3 linked regions of the Canis lupus familiaris genome follow. The protein of the gene in region 3 interacts with the protein of the main gene of each other region in a pairwise test. Links are inferred from orthologs where the notes say so. Each region holds a gene or a part of one and is shown on either strand. Other genes may lie near its edges. The genes, in order: STX16, ERGIC3 and VAMP5.

Evidence for each region.
Region 1: the proteins of VAMP5 (region 3) and STX16 interact in binary tests that used the Homo sapiens proteins (3 or more experiments, as listed by UniProt). The two-hybrid records come from large-scale screens. The link is inferred for Canis lupus familiaris from reciprocal best matches to the Homo sapiens genes VAMP5 and STX16.
Region 2: the proteins of VAMP5 (region 3) and ERGIC3 interact in binary tests that used the Homo sapiens proteins (3 or more experiments, as listed by UniProt). The link is inferred for Canis lupus familiaris from reciprocal best matches to the Homo sapiens genes VAMP5 and ERGIC3.

The regions. Positions count from the first base shown.
Region 1 is NC_049245.1:44,191,411-44,196,126, reverse strand, and holds part of STX16 (syntaxin-16), read right to left. Parts: intron 4,390-4,716; coding exon 4,224-4,389; intron 3,165-4,223; coding exon 3,073-3,164; intron 2,513-3,072; coding exon 2,369-2,512; intron 1,843-2,368; coding exon of another isoform or gene 1,825-1,842; exon of another isoform or gene 1,082-1,824; intron 1,075-1,081; coding exon 994-1,074; intron 1-993. UniProt on the Homo sapiens protein: SNARE involved in vesicular transport from the late endosomes to the trans-Golgi network.
Region 2 is NC_049245.1:25,017,398-25,022,736, forward strand, and holds the end of ERGIC3 (endoplasmic reticulum-Golgi intermediate compartment protein 3), read left to right. Parts: intron 1-957; coding exon 958-972; intron 973-1,615; coding exon 1,616-1,647; intron 1,648-2,462; coding exon 2,463-2,559; intron 2,560-2,636; coding exon 2,637-2,701; intron 2,702-3,363; coding exon 3,364-3,500; intron 3,501-3,595; coding exon 3,596-3,651; intron 3,652-3,853; coding exon 3,854-3,933; 3' UTR 3,934-4,067; downstream 4,068-5,339. UniProt on the Homo sapiens protein: Possible role in transport between endoplasmic reticulum and Golgi. Positively regulates trafficking of the secretory proteins SERPINA1/alpha1-antitrypsin and HP/haptoglobin.
Region 3 is NC_049238.1:39,839,930-39,845,191, forward strand, and holds the start of VAMP5 (vesicle-associated membrane protein 5), read right to left. Parts: upstream 3,683-5,262; 5' UTR 3,584-3,682; coding exon 3,581-3,583; intron 1-3,580. UniProt on the Homo sapiens protein: May participate in trafficking events that are associated with myogenesis, such as myoblast fusion and/or GLUT4 trafficking.

The sequences.
Region 1 (4,716 bases), on a different chromosome or scaffold from region 3:
AAAACTCAAGTTAGTTATAACTGTTTTCATACACAAGGCTCGGCAGCAAAATGAATCTAAATGCTTAAAAAGCCCTCTGCCTACCAGAGGCAGGCCTTTTCTTTCCATCGTGCGTTAGAGTCTTATTCCCACCCTGCTGCGGCAGTGAGCACACGAAAGAGAAAGCGAAGGGTTTCTGGTCAGACCTCAGTAGGTCGGTCTCACTTTCTGTAAACCTGACACCATTCTCAGACGGGGCTGCCGGGGCTGCCGCTGCCTCAGAGGGCAACCAGCTTCAGAAAAGCGACAGAGCAGTACATTAGTGGACTGGAAAAATGCTCATTATATGGCTACAAATATCACAGGGTCTCAAAGATACAAGAAAATGGACAGAATTTATTTTACTTGTGAAGTATTAGCATTCCTTTTAAAGAAAACATGCACCCAATTATATACGAGATCCACTCAGCAGCATATGTATGTTTCTCATCACTGATGACAAGATTTCTAAGACGCTTCCCGTTTATTTTTAACAAATATCATGAAAGATATTCCGGAAATAGCTACCTTATTAGCAAAGAGTAAGAGAGCTACTCTCACTTCAACAAACTATTCTTTTCTCAAGGTAGCACACAGATATACTGCAGTAATTAAAAGGGAAAATGAGATTTTTATCTGCTCCAGAATGATCCTCTACCAGCAATTCATCAGAAAGGTGTCACAGCAAGAGACCTGAGTCAGCAGCAACAAGCACACAGAACGTTCAACACACACCTAGCAGGTGCCCATTCCCTTGATTCCCTAAAGCAAGATGATTCAAAGAATCAAAGACTTTCCAAAAGAAAGAAATGGCCAAATCTTTTATAATCTATCGTCACAGAAAGGAGTTCTTGACAACTTCAAATCGAAGTGCGAGGTGTACCTCGAACCACTCCCCACAGTACAATGGCCAACAACCCACGTGATCAGCTCTGACTAAAATGACCCCGGACACCTGGACACGTACGACATTACCTTGTGAAGCTGTTTCAAGCCATCTTCAGTTTTGATACAGGACTGCTCAACATTATAGTCAATTCTATCAAGGACTGTACCCTGGGTGATAAATGACAGTTACAGACGATCAACAACTGCAACTGGAAACGTGGAATTTCAAAACTGAGATATGCAAATTGCAGACATCATTATCCACAGGATTATCTGTTTTACTTAACTGCTGCTGTAAAGGTACACACGGAAAGCTCTGGAATCCATCATCAAGCAATATTAGGCACTCAATGGCAGAGCGCTGTGTTAGTCACAATAAAGTATAACTCATGAGAAAGAAATACTGACAAATTGAGGTTTCTTTTTTGGATTTAGCCACTCTAAGATATGCCACATTCAGACTTACTGGGGCTTTAAAAAAATATACGGTTCAGTGGAAAGAGGCTCTGAGAGGCGAAAGGCTGGCTTCTGTGCCCATTTGCCGCTTAAATACTTGGATTCAAGTAAGCAGAGAGAGCTGGTTAAGCTAGACCCGGTTATGATTAGGCCTGGAAATAGACTGTCCTGTCTATAAACGTCAACACAGGTTTCCATGGGTCAGAGCAAAGACGGTGAGCTCCAATCCACCATGTAAAATTACACGTTTGCCTCAAGGAGAATTTTGTTTTTAATTGTTTAATCTGTCGGTTCAAACAGAGAGAAGGGAACACCAGGCTATGTGGAAGAACAGGGCTCTTAATGGAACACACTGTATCAGAAGAGATAGCAAGAGCAGTTCCTTGGGAACCGTGGGAGTAATTACTGTAACTAGATCTTCCATGGCCTCAACACTCCATTGTGCAGCTGGTTGCAGGGGGATCAGGACCCAAATCCCTGCTGGCAAGATAATAAAATACCCTAATCAGATTGTAACAGTGAACAAACAATTTAATTCTACTTGAAAGCTAGTGGTTCCAGTTGCCCTTACACAATAACCTGCCAAAATTAGCAGGGAAACCTTATCTATTGCCAGAATCATTGCTGAGTGGGGGCAGAACCCACCAGACCCCCGAAGTAGGGTGGTCCCATGAGCATCCTTGGTGTATGGGCAAAGAATCTGAGATCTTCTACTGATACCTATTTTTTACTTAAAAAATAAAAGGTTATCAATAGTTTTATAGGGAATGACATTAGTATATGCATATAATTTGCATATACAGATCTCTGTGCGGAGAAAATATACACATATTTGTGTGTGCATGTACACACAAAAGTGTGAGCACACACAACATACATACATACATACGTGGAAGGGCAGGAGGGTCAAATTTTGTTTCCTGACAGGAATACGGAATCAAAAGTCTCAAGAAGGACCAGATGTCATGGCAGGAAAACTCAACGATGAGGAAGGTAAACCACGTACCTGCTCCACAATCATTGCTCCTAAGTCCCTAAATATTTCATTCAGGTCAGAAATGGACTGCACGATCTGGCGAATTTCCCGCTCCCTCTCCTCCACCATCAGAGTGTTCTGCTCCACCAGCACTAACTGGTCATCTGTAAAACCCTAGCAAAACAAAAAGTACAGGATTTGTGTGTCAGATTCTCTTCTCCCACCTCCAGAAAGGTATGGTGTACCGCTGTAGGTATCATTTAAAGAATGAATTCTGAAAATACTTCTATAAAGCACATAAACACAACACATAAGCACTTATTTTTCCCTAACGGGAAAGATCCAAATTCCTAAAACAAGCAGGACCTAAAGCACTAGTGGCCAAAGCAGGGGACACGAAGAGAACCCATGTCTGCAGCTACACAAGGGCTGAGTAGCAAAATCACCAGGGATAGCCTTGCACTTCTCTGGGTTCTTCCCAATGAGGGGTGTGCAGACTGCTTTCCCGAAGGTTCTGAAAGGCAGATTACAAGGCCTCCTTGTAGCCTATAGAAAGGAAGAAACAGTATGGCCCCCATGACTGTTCTTCCACTTGCTGCAAAAACTACTTGATGGATGTACAAGTCAAGCAGTGCTGACCCATTTGCATTGCACAGAAGTTACAGGTCTATGAAGAGAAGGAACAGAACTGAGCGCAAATGTACAGCAGTCAACCTTGCAGCCCCTTCACGTACCCGATCATAAAGAGTATTATCGTCTCCATCATCCATTAGTGGTACTGATGTATCAAAAAAATGCTGGGATCTTTCCTCTCGATTCTTCATGCCTATCATAGATAGGAATTCACTTTACTCGAATATGTAAACCATCCTGGTTACTGTTCCACCATTAAAAAGGGGAAATCTAGAGTAAAACTCAACAGTCAAAATGGAGATACTCTTAGCTTTACAGGAAGCCTATCTCCAACAGAGGTGGGGGGAAGAGTAAAGGATTATAAACATATAACAATATGCAAGCATTGGGGGTTATTCCAGACAAAATCACATTATAAATGTGTACTATTCACTTGATGCCAAGTGAGTGACAAAATGACACTTAAAACAATCTGAGAATCCCTAAGAGAGGCAGAAATATTTAATCTAACTGCTGCTACAAAACATTTTTTTAAATCAATATTTCTTTCCAGAAGCATCTCTAGTAACAATTCCAAATGACCCTAATCGAATTTTAGAAGTAATAAAATTAAAATACAAATATGCCAGTTGTCAGAGGGAGGGGCAATTATTATTAAATTTTTTGGAGTGTGTGGGGATATTATTGATTACAATGGCAATATAGGAAAACCCAATTTATGAGGTAATTTGAACACAGATGTGGCCAGAACCGGACTTTTCACGGCCTCCGAAGAAAAGGTAGGCTGAAATCACTTGTGCCAAAGCAGCAAGTGGCTCAACTACTCCCAAAAAAGTTTTCAGGCATTCAAATACTTCAGTTGTTATGCAAATATAAAGCTTTCATGTGATTACAACTTATTTTACTTATTTGTTAGTAGCTTCCCCCAACCCAACATCTGGAAAGCTCCATGTTTTATAAATGTGCTAGAATGATTTTCAAATTTTTGAAGCTCGACACAGAGTACGTTGTGTTTTGTTGTGTGTGAACTATTGCAACCCCGGTCCCCAGCCTCCGTCCATGGGGGCGGGGCGGGGCCAGCTGCCAGTTGCCATGGAAGGTGTGAATGTGCTCAAGGGGTTAAGGACGAGGGTACAGGAAGAAACGGAGAACTAGCAGCAAAAAGGAAGGATGAAAACAGAAAGTGGCCCATAATCCTAGTGCTGAAACTTTCATGACTCAAAATCCCTGAAATCAGCCTGGTGACACTCACGTTTGAGGTAGCCCGACTGTGCACGCCGGAAGCTGGTGGACAGCTCCTGCAGAGCCTGCGCCAGGGAGGCCACCACGTTGCGAAGGAGCCGCTCCTCCTGCTCAGAGCAGGCCCTGCGGGCCCGGCTGGGCAGAGCCTGCACCGCACGCTGGCACCTGTGAAAGAGCTGGGAGAGGAAGCACACGGCTCCCAGTGAGCCGTGAAGGGAGACCCTGAGTGCTAGTGTGTCTGCACTCACGAGTCTGAGAGACATCAAATGCTCTGTTCATCTGTTCACACGGATGAGCCTCGAGAAAGGTGACCAGATCAAAGTGATCTGAGGCCTCACTTATATGCACAGAAAGACTGATCGGGATGTGAACAAACGCTGTGTGCTTGTGCGCTGTGTGTTGGGGCACTGTGCACACATTCTCAGGCTCCATCACCACGTGTTGCTCTATTATTGCAACCTTCTCATTTAATCCCTATCACTACCCTGGGGCAGGTATTAATA
Region 2 (5,339 bases), on a different chromosome or scaffold from region 3:
AGTTGGGGTGACAAGGTGAGTGTAAGGAGTAGAGGTTGAAAATATAGGGGTTTTCATGTGAGATGTGGGGCCCATGGGAGGGCTGAGAGTCGGGATGGTGTTAGGGGACCTGCAGAGCCAGTGTGACAGCAGTCTAGGGGTGAGAGATGAGCGGCAGTCCTGAGCTGCCCAGGGGCTGTAGTGAGCAGGAGTAATAGGAGAGCCCTGCTGGTGTGGAAGGCAGTGTGTGGGGTGAGGCAGAGTGTGGGTCAGGGATGGGAGGTGGGCCTGGAGGGGGTCGAGAAGGGTGGTCTCACAGGGACTGTGGGAAGATGGTCACTGTGGAGCTGTTGGCATGGGGCCTGGAGGCACTCGGGAGGAGGCAGTGGGCTGGCAGGCCCCAGCAGCCTCTCCGCTCCCCCACCTGGGCTGCTGACAGAGTCAGGGAGCCCAGGGCAAGGGGTGGTCTGTGTCCTGGGAGGATGTTTAAAAGACAAAGCTCTGATTGCCTGAGGCCAGATAATCTGGCTAGATTGAAGGTTTGGAAGCTAGATCCTGACATCCTTGTTGCTTGGAGGAGGAGGCAGGAATTATAAAGTTCACCAAGTACTTTTCCGTCTTAGATCCTACCTGGTCCTCAGGACAGCCCTTTGTAGAGATCGCTGAAGCCCAGAGAGGGCAAGTGGCTTGCCCAAGGTAACACAGCTAGGAAAGTGGCTTATTGGCTCTAAGTCTTTTATTCTTCTCAGGCCACCATACTTCTGCCCTCAAGAGCCCCTGCATTCACTGGCTAGGGAAGAGTTCTCCTGGGGATGGGACCAGGAGGAGGCTTGTTGGCTGGTTCCACACCCTGCTGCCGAGGCAGGAATACTCCAGGCTTCCTTTCTACCATGTCTCTTACTCCATAGTTCTCATTGTGAAGCTCTCAATCTTTTTTCTCTTCCTCCCCTCTCTCTCCTTCCCTACCTCATGCTGCAGTACATGCTGTGGAGAGTAAGTGGCCCTGCCCCGCCAGGGAGGCCAAGCCCCGGCTTCTGGGGCACCCTACCCTCCCAGGATGGGGGGAGGTTTGGACGGGCCTGGGATTGGGGTCTTACTTTTCAGGTAGGGTTCCTTGAAGCAGAAATGATCAGGACCAGAGGACAGGAAGCACTTGTTCTAGAATAGACGGTACAGGGTACCCATGGCATTTCCTTTGAGGGCTCTGAGGGTAGGGGCCAAGGGGCCAGGGAAAGTGCTTGGACAGCATTCTGAGGGCCCACTTCGCCTTGTCAGTGATTGGCCATCAGCTGTGTTTAGTGAGAGACCAGAGTCAGCAGGGTTTGGCTCCTGAGGTACAAGCAGGGACTGGGCGAGAGTGGAAACCTGGGAGATGCCCGTAGAGGGCTCCCTGTATATGTTGGGAAGGAAATGGGGTCTGTGTTCTTAAGGCCCGAGGAGGGCATGGACTCGCACACAGGCCCAAGACAGGCCTGACGGGCTGCCCTTCAGCAGGGCCAGGCTGGGGGGATGAAGGGCCGAAGAGGAGCTGGGCAGTCATACTCAGGGAGGGGTGAGGAGGCCCGAGCGAGGACACTGAGGGAGGCAGGAAGCCAGTCCTGCTCCACCCGGTGACACATTCTCCCTTCTCTCCTAGTCCATGATTTGCAGAGCTTCGGCCTCGACAACGTACGTACCAGCCAGAAGCCGTGCAGGCGGATGGGGTGGGAGTGGTTGCTGCTTCATGTGTCCACGGGGATGACTGGGGAAGGGGGCACAGATAAAAAGATCCCGTATTCTATAAGAGGATCGGTCTGAGGGTCAGGAACTGAGATCTGCACAGGCCAGAGGTGGGGGATGGGGGACAGGAGCGTCCTGGGCAGAGACCCCCTGGCAAAGTCAGGAGAGAGTGGAGCACCTCTCAGACCCCACCCAGGCTGGTGTGGGGGGTGAGGCTGGAGAGGTTGGCGGGGACTCTGGTCAAGCAGTAGTCGGTCTTCCTCCTGAGAGCGATGGAAGCTGTTGGCTTCCAGATGTTGGCCCTTTAACCAGGATCATGATATAATCAGATTTGCAGGTTTTTAAAGATCCCTCTAAGGACTGAGGTTGATAAAGTTTGGAGCAGGACAGGAGTCGGAGCTGGGAAATCTGGGGCGCTTCTAGGCGGGGCTTCCCTGGCCTGAGACTCCCAGGCAAAGTGGGCCCCTGCCATACGGAGTCCGTGCCCAGTCTTTATGTGCCTTGTGTTTGGATGCAGCCGGAGCCTCAAACTGTGGAGGCCCAGAGGCTGTGAACTCTGGGAGAAAGGAGTTCCCGGTGGGGCGTGGGGGTGCCTGTGTTGGTCACATCTCCCAGGCAGGACCTCTTCTTCCTTCCCCCATCTCCCCACACCCCCTCCCCAGAGCCAGGTACCCCTGTCTGGTGCTGCACTACAGAACTTCCGATGGGGTGAGGGCTGTTGGGGCCTTGAGCGCTTGAGGCTCACGTGTCGGTGTTGCTTGCAGATCAACATGACCCACTATATCCGGCACCTGTCATTTGGGGAGGACTACCCAGGCATTGTGAACCCCCTGGACCGTACCAACGTCACCGCACCCCAAGGTACCAGCCTGGAAGGTGGCCCCCAGCTGCCAAAGCCCTGTCCAGCACTCATGCCCAGTGCTCTCTTCTCCCTGCAGCCTCCATGATGTTCCAGTACTTTGTGAAGGTGGTGCCCACGGTGTACATGAAGGTAGATGGAGAGGTGAGTCTGCAGGAGCTTGGGTATCCAAATCCCTCCTGGTGCCAAACACTTGAGTCCTGTCAACCTGGGAAGTGGGGTGCTGCTCTTCTCCCCAGCTGATGGATGACAAGCTGACGTGCAGGGGCAGTAGGTGATGGGACCCCCACAGCCAGAGTGCAGGCCCCGGGAGGCTTGAGAGCACTTGTGCTTTCTACTTGCCCAGATTGCCTCCATCCATGCCTCTGGTGCTCACTGTCCACATGGTCTGCCTGGGCTGGGAGCTCACCCTTCCTGGGTCCCCTCCTTCCCTTTCTACTGTGGCCGGTGGAGCAGCATCTTGGCAGACGGGAAGTCAAGCCTGGCCTTGCCAGGAGTTCGTGGTGTGCGGTCTTGGAGAGTTGCTTCCCATCCCTGAACCCCTGCTGAGAGAACCCTCTGCATGTAGCTGGGATTGGTAAACTGTAAAGAGCTGGTGACCAAGGAGAAGCTGAGATGGTGAGGCTGGCTGAGAGAGTGTCTGGGGGGTCCCTAAGCCTTGAGGTGTTCACTAGCAACCGGGGCCTTGTTTTCCCTCCCACACAGTGCAGGCACCACACATGAGGGGCAGGAACAGGCATAGGGCTGGGGGACTTGGGAGCCAGGTCACAGACTCAGCCCTGGCCCTGACTCCCTTCCTGTCCCAGGTGCTGAGGACAAATCAGTTCTCTGTGACCAGACATGAGAAGGTCGCCAATGGGCTGATGGGTGACCAGGGGCTTCCTGGAGTCTTTGTGCTCTATGAGCTGTCACCCATGATGGTGAAGCTGACAGAGAAGCACAGGTGAGGGCAGGGGTGACGGAGAGGGGCCTGGGGCTTCAGGGAGGAGGGGTACCTGTTAACACCCGCCCCTGGCACCCACCCTGTCCCTCCACCAGGTCCTTCACACACTTCCTGACGGGCGTGTGCGCCATCGTCGGGGGCATGTTCACAGGTCAGAAGCTCTAGGCTGGCTGGGGCTGGGGCTGGGGTGTGGCAGAGAAGATAAAGCCTGGGCTTCCTGCTGGAGTTGTGGCAGAGGGGAAGGAGGGGCACCTCAGCAGCCAAGGGGAGATGCTGGCCTAGCTGGTTAGGTGAGGAGGCTCTGGGGTCCAGCCACGTGTTGGGTGAGTGCCAGCCTCTATCTCTCTCCCCAGTGGCTGGACTCATCGATTCGCTCATCTACCACTCAGCTCGAGCCATCCAGAAGAAAATTGATCTCGGGAAGACAACGTAGTTGTCTCCTTCCCCCTCTGTTGTTGCCTTCTCCTGTTTCTCTTTGGCCCTTTGGTCATTTCCCAGCCTCGTCCCCACGCACCCCCACTCCGTCGTTCTGAGCCCAGGTTGATAAATCTATTAATTGTGATAGTACTCACTGGTCTCCGTGTGCTTCTTGTATCTGACCAGAGCCTAGAAACAACCCCTCATTCAGCCACTTACTGAAAGCAGTCAGGACTGACAGATCAGGCCAGATGCTCTCTGGGAGCCCCACATAGACATCCCCTGGCTAATAGGGCTTTATTCAAACCTGACGGATGTCTACCCCACAGCCCTGTCCTCAGTCCCTCCTCTGCACTGGTCTTTGGGCCTTTTGGGTCCAGCTCCAGGGCTGAGATGGACCTTTCCCGTATGAGCTTCCTGGAGCCACTATGGCCCTCAGGATCATGAGTGGCTGACCCCAGTGGTACTAGGGCCCTGGGTGCAGGCTGGGGCTTGTCACCTCTTCAGTGAGGGCTAAAGCCGGGGCTTCTCCCTGCTACCCTGGGCTCAGTCTACTGAGAGGGGTCCAGCCAGGTTGGGTTGAGTCTCCTAGGTGGAGGCAGAACTAAAAACTTGGAGAGATGGGAGCAATGGCCACTGTGGAGCCGGGCTGGCATCAGACCCCCAGCTCTGGGTCTCCTCAGGGTTTCCCTTTACAGCCCCGAATACGTGTGCAGAACCAGGCCCAAGACCCCGACCATGCTGCAGCCCAGGGAAGCAAGGATGTTGCCAGCTGGTCAGTTCATTCAGTCCTTTCTCAGGGAGTGTCTGGGTAAGATACTGGAAGCAGGAATAGAAAAGACAGGAAGCAAAGTGGGATGATGAGAGCAACATCTCTAGAGGCAGACCGGCCTGAGATCCGGCTCTGATGTGATCACTCACGAGCTGTGTGGCCTTGGCCAGGTCTCATCTAGAAATTGCAAATCGTATTGCCGCTGTAGTGAGTCTTGTTTTTTTGGTCAGCTGGAAACCATTCCTACTTGTGAACAGTATCCCGAATTTCCCCTGGGCACCTCCCTATCTTCTCACCTTCTGTATTGGGAAGGAGGTTTGATTTCCCACCCTAAGCTCCAGGGAGGCCCCCAGTCAGCATAGCGCATCCCCCTGGCCACAGTGAGCCAGGGCACGCCAGACTGTGTCAGGACTGGGAAAGTTTGCTTCTGGATATGAATGTGGGAAGACATGAGGTTGGTGCCGCTATACTACAGTCCTGAGGGGGCGGATTGTCTACAAATGAGCTGGCCCCCAGAGGACAGCAGAGCTGAGCCCAGAGGCAGAGAACCAGTCCTAGGGACATTGCTTGAATCCCATGACAAGTCGCCAGTTAAACCCTGGGAATTGCAAGCCCCCCAAATCCCTTTCTGCTTAAGCCATTTTGGGTTG
Region 3 (5,262 bases):
CAGTGAACCCAGGATAGTGCCTGGCACACAGTGGACAAGGGAAAAACATCTCTGAATGCCTATTTGTAAGACGCTCACTATAGGCTGGGAGAAAGAGACATGCATGGCACAAGTAGAGAAGAGTGAAGGGTTGCGCTGTGAAGGACAAACACTAAGTGCTGGAGCCACCCTCAGAGAGTGGATTCCTGTGAACAGAGACAGCCCCGGGTGGATGAGCCCTTGCAGGATGGGGTGGAGCTGGGGTTCCAGTGAGGCAGACCAGGCAGAGGGCAAGGGCGGAGGGGCAGGGTGGAGCGCACGAATGCAGAGTAAAAGTCCAAATAGAGGACATTCACTTGCAGAGAGGGCTGAGCAAGACCTAGTGTGGTCTTGTGAGCCAAGGAGGACACTGGAGAGAGGCTTCAGAATAATTTCTCTATTCGTGGTAGACTGGCCTAGATGGCAGTGACAAAATTTTGGGCAGGGAAGCCATCCAGAAGGAGTGGAAAAGTGCCCCCAGCAAGGCTGTGAGGAGTTGCCAAGTTCATGGGGAGCAGAGAGTGTAGAGGGAAAGTGTGGGTGACTGGGTCATTTCCCAGCCCTGCCCGATGTCTGCAGGGCCAAGGGTGGGCCGTGGAGTGGGGAGCAGCAGCACGGATGGCAGACAGGGGGTGGCAGTTACACAGGAAATGTTCTCAACAGACCGTTACCCTCTGTACAGAATATCTGCTTTCAACCCTCAAATATCTCAGGTTTTTCCAAGCCAAATAGCCTTGGTTCTTCATTCCTTTTTTTTTTTTTTTAAAGATTTTATTTATTTATTCATGAGAGACAGAGAGAGAGAGAGGCAGAGACATAGGCAGAGGGAGAAGCTGGCTCCTCACAGGGAGCCTGATGCTAGACTCAATTCCAGGACCCCGGGGTCACAACAACATGAGCCAAAGGCAGATGCTCATCCACTGAGCCACCCAGGCACCCCACCCTTGGTTCTTCTGAAAACAAAGCTCTCCAAACCTCTCTGCCCTAACTCTCCTGTCTCCCTTCTCTCTGGGAGACAAACCCTATTCCAGCTGTCACCACTGTCCTAGTCAAAGAACTGGGGATGGGGCGGGGGGGGGGGGTTGCTGTGTGTGCAGCGGGCAGGCAGTGAAGGGGTGTATCAGTTCCTTGCTAGGTCAGCATTCACCTGAGCTCAGAGCCAAGGGCCGGGGCTCTGCACTGCAGCCCCGGGTTCCCTCAAATCTTGCCTCTGCCACTTACCCACTATGCAAACTTTCTGACCCTCCACTTCCTCATCTGTAAAGTGGTGACAAGAATGATACCTACATGATGTTAACTAAGGCATATGACTGTCACGAACAAAGTGCTTATCACAATACCTGACAATACTGAATGCTCAATGAGTAAGAGCTATTATTATAGACAGAGCCCAAGCTCCCTGGCTGATTACTTTTTAAGCAGTCAGATCTCAAGAATTATACCATACAAATGGTCAATAAAACCTCTTAGATAATTTTACAAAACACACAGCCAAGCAAGCTCTCCTTATTGCAAACTCGTGCACTTAATTGTCTCTAACCTAAACACAGAACGTCACCTGGGCCTTTGATAACTGGCATAGAGTTTATTTCCATCAAGCACTGCAGGCTGTTGAGAAGGTTTTAAGTCTTGAAGGTGATAACAGCCACCATTCAATGGGCACGTACTCTGAGCTAAGCACCATGCTGCCGGCTGTTTGTTCACCTGATCTGATTTAATCCTCACAACAATCCATTGAAGGCATGTTATCATCCCAATTTTATAAGAAACTGAGACTCAGAGGGGTTAAATCATCAAGGTTGTACAGTCAGTAAGCAGGCGATCCAGGAGTGGAACCAATAGACTCCAAGAATCACATTCTTCACCACGGTGCTAAAATGAATGCAGGTGCGGGGGGGGGGGGGGGGGGCAAATACTTTAGCTGGCTGCTAAAGACTCCCCAGACCTTTTAATGCTGCCAAGCCAACCCTTGTGCATATGAGGGAAGCCTGTAGCTCAAAACTCACATTCACTGGACACTGCACGAGAGAAGACCACCTATAGGATGAATGAATTCAAGCCCTTACCCATCACTATTTGTTCCTGTTCTATCCCCATACCTGTCACCACATCCGGCACGGAGGAAATGCCCAAGAAATGTTTGTTGATTGAATGAATCAGAGGAGAGGACAAGGAAGAAAGACCAGGTAGGGAAGGGAGTGGGGAGAAGGAAGGGAAAGAGTTGGGGCCAGGGACAGGGGCAGGTGTGAAACAGAGAGATGGGACTAGGAGATGGGAAGGGAGAAAGATCAGTGTACCCTCCCCAGGCTCTGATCCACTGCTGGCCTCAGATGAACCTGTGAGAGTGTCAGAGTTTTCCAGTATCCACCAATAAATTATCCTGGCCTCAGCCTTCACTTAGGAGTTTCCTCTTCTCCCCCACGTGCTCAAGGCCAACTGGAAGCCCACCCCTAGCCCTGCCAGATCCCTTGCCCTGTATGCTGGGAAGTGGGCTCAGAGCTTTGTCCCATTCTTGGAGCCTCCCTTGGTTTCCTGGCGTGGCCTTAGAGCTCAGTACAACCTTCCTGTCCCGCTTCCTCTTCCTGCCTCTGGTTCCCTAGAGATGAGGCCATCCAGGCATCCCGACCCCCAGCCAGGCCACATCTATCACACCTCTGTCAGCTCCTCCAGGGCAGAAGCTTAACGTACCAAGCCTGCTTCCTGCCCAGCCCATCTTCCCAGGAGTCCGGAGGATGGAGGAAAGCTACTGCCACCACCTGTTTGCGGCTGACACCTTTGTCTTAGAGATGGCAAGTGGGGACACAGGCCAGAGTTTGCAGCAGGAGTAAGGGATGACTCACCTCAAGAATGTGTCCCTGGGTAGAGGTTAGGAGACAGGCCTGTGCCATAGTCTGATAACTTCAATGGAACTTGTATAGTTAACATGTACCTTTATCTTTACCTAGGGTCAGAAGAATGCCCTCCAACACCCCGCCATGGCTGGCTACCACCCCATCTGCTCGGGTTTCCAACTCCGGGCCACACTGCTCTGTCTTCTCACAGCTCCAGGAAGGGCCGAAGAGGTCACCACACTACCTACACTGCTCAGGAGCTCCAGGCGGGGCTCTGCCAACTGTATCTCCCTTAACCTCCCAAGTACCCAGTAAGGCAGGTAATGCTGACCCCACTTCATAGATGCGGAAAGAAAGTTCAAGAAGGTTAAGTGACTTGCTCCGGGTCACAGCGCCGGTAAGTGGCCACCACCAGGATCTCAGCCCGGAGTCCGACTGGAAGCCTGACTCCGAAGCCCCGAAACCCGAAGCCACTGCGTGTAACCCCTTGGCTCGGGGAAGGGGGAAGCCAGAGCCTTGCTCCCTGCGCACGGGCGGCCGAACTGTCCCTCGCCGGCCTGCGCGCCCCCGCTGGAGGAGGCTCTGGCCCAGCCGGCTCCGGGCGGCCGCCACTCTCGGGGGGCCCGGAGAAGGCCCCCACCTCGGGCTTCAGACTCCGGCCTCGCACCCGTCCGGCGCCCTCCGCCCCCGGCCCGCCGGCCCCGCTCCACTCCGCCCCGCCCGGCCCTCACCATAGCTGCAGCCGCCGCCTCGCCAGCCAGCCGGGGCTCCTGTGTCGCCGCGCGGCCGCGGTGCCAGATCCCCGGGAGGAAGCGGAGGGGCGGGGCCCGCGGGGGCGGGGGCGGGGGCGGGGGGGCGCCTGCCCGGGAGCCCGGACCTAGCGAGGCAAAGCGAAAGCTGCCGGCTCCCGCCCGGCTTCGCACGGTGCCCCAGCCTCCGGGGCCGGGCCCTCCCGCCTGGGCAGCCCCGGGCTCGCTCGGCCCGCGGCCACACGTCGGGGCCCGTCGGCGACCCAGTCTCTGAAGCGGGCAGCGTGGAGCGGGCCCTGGGGCCGAGGTCTGCCACCGCCACCGTCCGGCCCTGGGCTAGCGACGCCTGGAACAGCTAGCGCGTGTGAAGTGCAGTCGCTGGTAACCAGACTCCGCGAAAAGTTTCAAAACGAAAGAAACTTTATTCACCATCAGCATTGTGAATGCACCACCTGCCGCTGAATTGTGAATTTCAGAATGGTACCACTGAGTGGTACGATTGTGTGTCCACAATGTAGGTTGCGTGAATTTCACCTCAATAAAGAAAACAGACCCCCCGGGGAGAAGTTACTAGTTCTAGCTTTTCGGTATTTCCCTCTTCACCACAAGGGCAGCTGCAGCCCTGCCCTCATATAACCCTGCTCCTCCAGAGCCTGCCTCCATGCCCATCTCCCCTCGTGGCTGTGGCCACCCCCACCCCCTGCCTCCCCCACCACCTCAACTGTGGCTCCTCTTGGGGAAGGGGGTTGAGGGCTTCCGTCCTAGCATTGACCCTGCCTGAGCACGGCCCACATTCCTACCCTGGGCAGTCTGGGTCCCAAGGAAGTGGTTTCACCCCAGTTCTGTGGACTTTGAGTCCAGGAATGACAGACGTGAGGAGAGAGGATGACCATGGTCTGAGATAGGAGGACACAGGAGGACAAAGATTGGCCTGAGGGCTTTTCTATGCTTTTTTTTTTTTTTTCCCTCCCTGGTTCTCTGAATATGATTCCAGAACCTGACTTGCCAGGAGGAGTCCCAAATCCTGTCTTCCAACCCTGTCCCTTCCACACTCCCCCCCACCCCCAAAACAGATTGTTTTCAATACCGGAAAGCCCATGGGAGAAACAGGGACAGAGATGGCAAGAACCCTTTCCCCAAACCAAGACAGGAAAGAGTGACAATGAGGTGGAACCTGGCAGGGAGAAGGGAAGACCGAAGACAAAGAAGCCCATTGTACATGGAGGGGAAGGAGGGCCATAGGCCCTGTCCTGTGACACTGACTGAGCCCAGCCACAAGATATGGTGAGAGATGCTCACCCTCTCAGCTGAGACCCGGAGGCCCTGCTAAGTCCCAAAAGGGCAGACAAAAGACAAATAGAACTTTGAGAACCAGGGGTGCCTGGCTGGCTCAGTCAGAAGAGCATGTGACTCTTGAATTCAGGGTCATGAGTTCGAGCCCCATATTGGGTAGAGAGATTACTTAAATTAAAAAAATAAACAAAAGAACTTTGCAGAACCAAAAAGAAGGAAAAGTGGCCCAGTTCCTCTAGCACCTTGCTCTAGACTGCACCAGGGCCATAGAAAAGAGATGAAAGGAGGTCCTCAGCCTGTCTTGGCTAACACTTCTAGTAGAAAAGTAATAAAGGCACATGGCAAGGCTCAAGCCCTTAGGAGTCTTGTGT